Lytechinus pictus: one gene and its partner. The protein of the gene in region 1 binds, or shares a complex with, the protein of each later gene. Links are inferred from orthologs where the notes say so. Each region holds a gene or a part of one and is shown in the gene's direction. Other genes may lie near its edges.

Region 1 (3,929 bases):
GCAACCCAGGGTATAAAAAATAAGGCATAGACCCCAATTTTTGAAATATAATCACCAATAAAAATCGCTTAATAGGCCTATGGGAAACTGCATTCAAAATGCCGCCATTTTGTTTTTTTTTGCCGATTTGAGGATGAAAACGTCGAAATCAAGTTTGGCAAACAGCATTTTTGGATTCAGCACCCCTGAATTACCTTAAAACAATCGATAAATAAGCATTAACACAAAATGCCTATTAAGCACTTTTTCTGAGCACATTTTTTAAAATCTGGACCTGACTATCTGTCTTTTGTGCGTCCTATTGGTCTATCTTTTGAATCCTCGCTAATACTACAGTCACACGGCCATGCCTAAGGACCTGCGGATGCCTGCATATTTGGATAATGAAAATGCGTAATTTTTACCTCAATAATGGAAATTTAAGCAAAAGTTACCTATATTCTTTTTATTTTATTTTATGCCATTTGCGCTACGCATGACCGAATCAATTGATGTTGAAGACAAAAGGTGCAGAGACCCCTTTTTCCAAGTTTTTGAAAACTTGATGAAAAGACAGATGCTGATGTAAATACTTTCATCGATGTCTGAGCTGGCAAAAATCTTTTGATTGGACCCTTTTTCTTACAAAGGATTGTTAATAAGTGAATGTACTTGCACACCATTAACGAGGAGATCGTACCACATTTGGACCAACATATTGTTGAGGGACAGTTGTGAGGAGTGTACAGGTATCTTTGGTGGATTCAGGACGGAGCTCCTGCCCATCGTTCCAACATCATTCGTGATATAGACTCTTTGGACATTACGTTGTTGCCCTCAACCATGGCATTAAAAAGCCACCAAGATCGCCTGACCGCACGCCCTTTGATTATTTCCCTTAGGGACACTTAAAAATAAGGTTTTTGCAACTCTTCCCCACGATTTTGATGACTTGCAGGGTCTCCTCGTCTTCCTTTAAAATTATTTCTTTTCTGTCTTAAGCTGTATAATGTATTTAAAAACAATGTTTTCTGCATACTCTGTTTTATGTATACCTGTATGTTTTATCATGTACTTATTGTTTCATACACACTTGTATGTTTGTCATGTATTCGAACTCAAAGTTGGAAGACAAATAAAATAAAAATTCGATATGAGGTGGATGCTTTGGACAATGATCCGGCATTGCCATTGGTGAGACGAGCTGTCCAATATATCCTTCAACGCTTCTGGTTTTGTTTTCAAAGGAGAGGATGACATGTTGAAGGTGTGGGTAAATAAGACCAGGTCCATGATAAGACATACACTTTTCACTCATCATTTCAGAGAAATGCCTCAAGTAACACTTCATTCCAAAAAATTACTTTGGAAAACATATTATTCTATCAAGTTCACATTTTACCCACTTTACCAAAACTTGGAAAAAATGGTCTCTGCACCTGTTGTCTTTAAAAGCGATTGATTTGGTCATGCGTGGCACAAAATGATACAAATAGGGTATCAATTGAAAGCTGATGAGTTTCTCATATATATCCATGCAGAATAATTTCACAAAATTAAATATGATCCTAATATCAGCCCTCTAGATTTGGATTACCTTTTTTTTGAAACGCACTGTATACAGCTAACGAGCGCGAGCCAATCACATGCAAGCAAATCATCATAGCAGTCGAACTTTGGTGCGGTACGCGTACGGTGCAAGCATGCATGCAGTGATAAAGTAAACCGAGGACTTTCAGCTCGTTACGTGAGACGAGAAGATGGGATTGAAGCGAATAGAAAACATCGCACTCGCGTTGTTTTTAACCAACATTACCATGTTGGCAGGGACATCAGTATATTTCTTGGATATAGAAGAACTCAAAAGCATCCATTATGACATAGATATCCTTGAAAATCCTGTTTTATATGGAAGAGTAAGTAGAGATTTGTTCATGTACGGTCCCATATGTATATTTTTACGTGTTGTATGGTATAGGCTACCTCAGGCTCAGGCGATGTTCGTGCAGGCTCCACTCCACTTCACTACCGCTACACTACGCTCCACCTACCCGAACATCGGGACAGTGAACTAGATCGGATATTCCGAGTCATAAAAGGTGGGATGGCAATCATGGTTATCGTAAAAATTAAAGAAAAAAAATATAAAGAAGGATATGAATGACTTAATATCTTACTTTACACCCGTAAGTGCCGTATTTCACTCCGTGTCCATCCTCCGGTTATCCTCAAAATTTGTGATTTTGGGCCAGTATCTTTTTCCTCACACGTATTATTCACGGCCGATTTCAAAACATCGCATGCGATCGCGATCGATCAGCGACCGATCGCATGCGATGTTTTGAAATCGGCCGTGAATAATATGTGTGAGGAAAAAGATACTGGCCCAAAATCACCAATTTTGAGGATAACCGGAGGATGGACACGGAGTGAAATACGGGTGTAAAGTAAGATATTATTATTAAGTCATTCATATCCTTCTTTATATTTTTTTCTTTAATTTCTACGATAACCATGATTGCCATCCCACCTTTTATGACTCGGAATATCCGATCTAGTTCACTGTCCCGATGTTCGGGTAGGTGGAGCGTAGTGTAGCGGTAGTGAAGTGGAGTGGAGCCTGCACGAACATCGCCTGAGGTAGGTATAGGCGTACTACTAGTATAGTGAGTGATTGTATATTACCGAACGGCCTTGTAGTTGTATTACCGAACGCGCGCATCGTACGCGTCAGAAAATAATTTCATACGCTCAAAACTTTGCAACATCCTTCCAAAGGGAACTTGAATAGAAAGATGATGAAAAATGGTCAAAACACATTTTCAAAGTTATGATATTCTAAAAATATTAAAATATGGTCAAAATAGCTCACCAGTGATTTTGTTGTTTTCTCAATTTTTCCCATAGACCTTATCGCAAATAGATTCACGCAAAGGATCATGGGATCGCAAAGGGAGCAATAGCGCCGCTGTTGTCCGGATGCGACCATGCGAGCGCAAGCAGCCGACAATAAAGTGTACGATTTCCATAGTGTATCAAAATACGATCGACGCCGGCAGCCAACATTTTGCTAACTTCCAGTAAACGCCTCGTCATATTTGTTCCAGAGTCTAACATCACTTTTCTTCTTAATCATGGGTGGCAGAGATAGATGTGCTGTATAAAGCTGCAAGAATTACCACAGATTTTATGAAGACAAGTGCAATTTTCTTTCATTTTCGCGCACTGTCTGTGCGTATTTTGATCTGTGCAGCTGCTGTGCAAAGTGTGCTTGTATGCACGGACAGCGGGCATGCACTCTCGGCCCAGGGGTACGTCGGCGAGGCAGTGGAGGAAACTGGTCCCGGAATTCCAAGCAATAATAAAATGATGATCAATAAAACAAACTCTGCAGTAGATTTGATTACTTTAGTCTAGTTATATATTTTTTGTAATATCAATCGATAGTCAAGAATACATGTTTCATAATTAATTATCTCAATCATGATTTTATTCAGAGTAGGCCTATAAACCGAGCTGTGTTTTCTTTTTCTCTCCACAGATAGGCTACATAATATTATTGCATATTATTCAGGATCGTGGTCGGACATTCTGAAGTTTTATTGTTGGCATGCATAGACAAAATAATCATAATGAAATAGAAAAAAATGAGAATAGATGAAAGTATATTGAGAGAAAATTAAGCTAAAAAAAGAAAAAAGAAATTAATGAGGAAGGTGATTTGTAAGAGAAGTGACTGAATGCGATGAAATTAATTGAAGATGTAAATGTTGAAATAAGATTTTTTATCAAAAGAATGGAATATATATCTATATGAATTAAATATCCATCTGCTAAGTTTCAGACAAAATAAAATTACAGAGAGATTGGAGGGATAGGGCCTATACGGGATCATAAAATGTTTTAAATTGAGAGATTTATTCATCTTTATTCTGCATGTCATAGGCCTA
Region 2 (3,929 bases), on another chromosome or scaffold:
GTGGCAACCTCTTCGGAGATGACTTGTGTAAGAAACATCTCAAGTGGGGACTTACCTCGAGCTCAGCTTCCACAACTTTGACGTAGTTAGCACCGGAATGCTCCGACATCAACTCGCTGTCCCCGCTCCCTTCCAACTCCATCTGCTGCAGGAGGTCCATCCTGTGCTCGTAACCAGGAGCAACAATATATTGTCCATCCCACCAAGGTTTTGTCAGATGCCCTGCTTTTTTGTTCTCAAGTTCATCATGTTCAAACACTCCCTCCTCTGAACCATCTTCTTCTCTCGCCCTGATGATCATCTCTCTTTCCTGAAGCTTCTGTGCTACTGCGACACTATCTAATCTTGTACTTCCTGAAGCACTTTGGGATTCTTCATCAACTCTGGTTCCATTTCCTGAGGTACTCTGATTACTCTCATTGACCCCTCCTTTTAATCTCTGAGAGTGAGACCGAGTTTCACTTTCTATCCTGAGGTGTCCTGCATGAGGTTGTACAAAGTCTTCTACACCTATCGAATGAAGTCTATCCAATGTCTCTTGCACATCACTGTAATTGTTGAGGAGAGCCCCTGAATTGGGCATGGACAGCAAGGCTAGGCGAATAGATGGCCATTCGTCTCCAAACAGCGGCCGGTAGTTTTGGTCGAAATGCTTAAGGGCAACTTCTGTTGGATCATTTTTATGTTTTCCATATGACTGCACAAAAGAACAAAATAAGGTGATATACATTTACAGAGGGTATAATGTGCATTAATATCAAATATACTCATATCCATATTAGCAAGTTACTCAATACAAAAATAGAACAATTTACAAAGTACATGTAGAAGAAAAACATGTGAAACCAATTAACGATTATTGCCAGACATTTTTTTCAGCAAGTATCTAGGCTAAATTGTTGCAAGTATGAGAGAACTGGCCCTGCATGGAGCATATGTTGTGAAATTGAAAATATTAAAACTGTCTATTTCATCACATTTTTGTTAGACAAGTATTTTTCATAGTCTGCATTTAAACAAAAAAGAGAGAAATTCTGCAAATCTGCAACGTTTTTTCAATCTTGTTTTAAATTTAATTATTTGGGTAATATTATTGTGATTATCATAATTTGAATTCAACATTTCCAACAGCAAATAGATCTAACTTCTAAGTTAGATCTATATCAAACAAAATTAAGCAAGGATCTTACGACGTTACAGCTACATGACATAGATTTAACTCAACTTCTCAAGCGATGTTCGTGCAGGCTCCACTCCACTTCACTACCGCTACACTACGCTCCACCTACCCGTAGTGTAGCGGTAGTGAAGTGGAGTGGAGCCTACATGTAACTGCACGAACATCGCTTGCTGAGCTGAGATCTAGTCCACGTACCAGTTTGGCTTTTGTCTTTTTCCCTCTGTAGGTTATTTCTAATTCTTTGAACCGTCGCACTTGCAGGAATCTGGAAATTCGCCTGGGCACTTGTGACATCATAATGTAGAAACTATCTGCAGCAAACGTCGTAAAAACTCTAATATTACAAGTTCACATGAAACACTCTCTGCACGTGTTAGTAGAGGGATGGTTTGTTTACGTCGGCCCTTTAAACCAAATACTGAGCGATTTTCCAAGACATACATTGGTTGGCCAATGATGAATACTTCACAAAGTTCTGACCAATCAGAGAATGCGACACATTAGCACAACTTAATGTGGGAGTGCGAGGATTCAGCTGACCGTATCATATGAGAAAACGCCACGTCGCTTTGTGAATAGTCCGTTCTTTTGCCTTTGGAGCAAGATTATTGCAATTATTCGCTATTATACTCTGAGTCTGAGTCACCTTTTGTGAGATATCCCACCATGCAGTCTACATACTCGAGGAGGAGTCCAGGTGAGTGGTAATTAAAAATTATCAGACGTATTCATGTGCTCAGTCCCACCTAATTTCGTTCTGTGTCAGTGACAGTGAAAGTGTGACACTACTGTCAGTGTCATAATCATTTAGCAGTGATATCCAGTCTTGAGCACTCTGGGGCTACACCGCTATTCCAACGCGTGTTGGAAAAGTCGACGCCAGACGGGTATGTTTTGGCCTTGAATTTCCAGCAAATTAATCAAAATTACGGCCTAAATTTAGGTCTATGTTATCAATTATATACTAATTTCATAATTATAATGTAAAACGGGTACTCACGGGTTCTTTTCTTTCCAAATTTTGTGTTTTCATCGCCTCTTCTGGCCAACTCTTGCGATGGATTTTGTCGCCATAGGATCCTGTACGTGCAAATCCAGGGCGAGTTGTCACATGACGCTCGCGAGTCTCTAGGGGTAATTAGACAGCTGGCAGCCGTCTGTTTTGAGGAGTTTTTTAACATTTTGTTTTTTTTTATTTCTCCTCATACACAGACGGCTCGCTATCGTGCAGCCACCATTAGGGGACTTGCAATGCAAAATCCCCCCGTCGGGGCTCTTCAATTTTTGTCTTTAATGAAATTTTTTTTTGAAAATTAATGCGACCAAAATACAAATTAACATTCCCTCTTGGCATTTATTGCCAAGAAACGGAGAAAAATCAAGTTAAAAGGAACAAAAACAGTGACTTACCTCGGCTGTCGCGCAAATTCACTTCCCTGTTTTATCCGATCTTAAGTACATAAACATATGGCCATTGAGTCCCCTGTACAGATCGCGCTAGAACTTCGGTCTCTGTATTTGGTGAGTGAAGCCAACGGAGTTCAGCTGAACAACCAACATAACAGAGACAGAAGCTTTTGGTCTAGGGGTAATGGCCTTTAATCAAGGCGTTCTTTTTGCTATAATTTTATAATGACGCTTAAATATCGAAATCAATGTAGACGAGTCTGTGCAGGGGCATAACAGGGGTATATAAGAGGGGGCATAGTACATGTCGCATGTGGAAGATAAAAGTTACGTAATGTAAGTCCCGAGCACTAGCGTACCTAGGGGGGGGGCAGTCTGCCCCCCCCCCCCCCCCCCCCGATGAGTCACAAACCCATGCAAATTACATATCTCTGCCCCCCGGCCCCCCTGACGAGCTTGAAAACCTATTTTGCCCCCCCCCGACGAGCTTGAATACCTATTTTGCCCCCCCTGGCGAGCTTGAAGACTTTTTTTTTGCTTGTCAAATTTTTTCTGGTACGATTGAAGACCTTTTTCATTGAAGAGCCTTTTTTTCCTTTTTTTTTGCTTGTCAAATTTTTTGGCGGCCGATTTTGCCCCCCTGTGGAAAATCCTAGGTACGCCATGCACTGCCCGCGCTACATGTATGTTGGTAGCCCTGGGACCTCTGGATATTAACTAATCCAATTTAATTACAGATGGCAGATTTTTTTATTATCTGAGTAGCCCCCCCCCCCGGATTATTTGTTCTCACATTACTTTCCTTTTTAAATTTCCTTTCGTTCTTTCTTTCATTTTTCTTTCTTTCTTCCTTCCGTTGCTCCTATGTTTTTTTTTCAGGTGAAATCCACTCGGGGGATGGCCAGCCATGCCCCCATCTGTTTATGCCTCTGAGATGTAGGCTATACTCATGATCTTAATCTTCGATTTTCCAAAGTAGGGGGGTGCAATTTCTCAAGTAAAATTTGACAACCCCCCCAAAAAGGTTATCCCAGAAAAATTGTCATTTTGTCTCGCGTAAGATTTGACAAGTAAAAAGAAAAGATGGTTACTAAAAATAAAAGACTCATTTTGTCCGTGTAATATTTGGCAAGCCTCCCCCCCCCCCAAGTTTAACATATCGGAGGCGCGATGGCTCAGTCGGTAGAGCAGGGGTTTCGGATTCCGGTGACCCGGGTTCGATTCCCAAGTGGTGCGCTAGTGCCCTTAAGGCTTATCCTCATTACCAGGTCCCTCGGAGAGGACCTTAAGCCGTTGGTCCCCTGGTTGCTTGCTCACAGGCATTCGTGCTTTTTTAGCAGTC

The links.
Region 2: protein OS-9-like (region 1) and ubiquitin-conjugating enzyme E2 J1-like share a complex: the UniProt entries of both Homo sapiens proteins name them as parts of the HRD1 complex. The link is inferred for Lytechinus pictus from reciprocal best matches to the Homo sapiens genes OS9 and UBE2J1.

What each region holds. Positions count from the first base shown.
Region 1 is NC_087247.1:60,361,583-60,365,511, forward strand, and holds the start of protein OS-9-like, read left to right. Parts: upstream 1-1,644; 5' UTR 1,645-1,739; coding exon 1,740-1,895; intron 1,896-3,929. UniProt on the Homo sapiens protein: Lectin component of the HRD1 complex, which functions in endoplasmic reticulum (ER) quality control and ER-associated degradation (ERAD).
Region 2 is NC_087248.1:15,066,386-15,070,314, reverse strand, and holds the start of ubiquitin-conjugating enzyme E2 J1-like, read left to right. Parts: upstream 1-1,685; 5' UTR 1,686-1,846; coding exon 1,847-1,877; intron 1,878-3,929. Other genes in the region: 5-methylcytosine rRNA methyltransferase NSUN4-like, read right to left, coding at 1-697, 1,376-1,477. UniProt on the Homo sapiens protein: Catalyzes the covalent attachment of ubiquitin to other proteins. Functions in the selective degradation of misfolded membrane proteins from the endoplasmic reticulum (ERAD) and is essential for cells to recover from ER stress.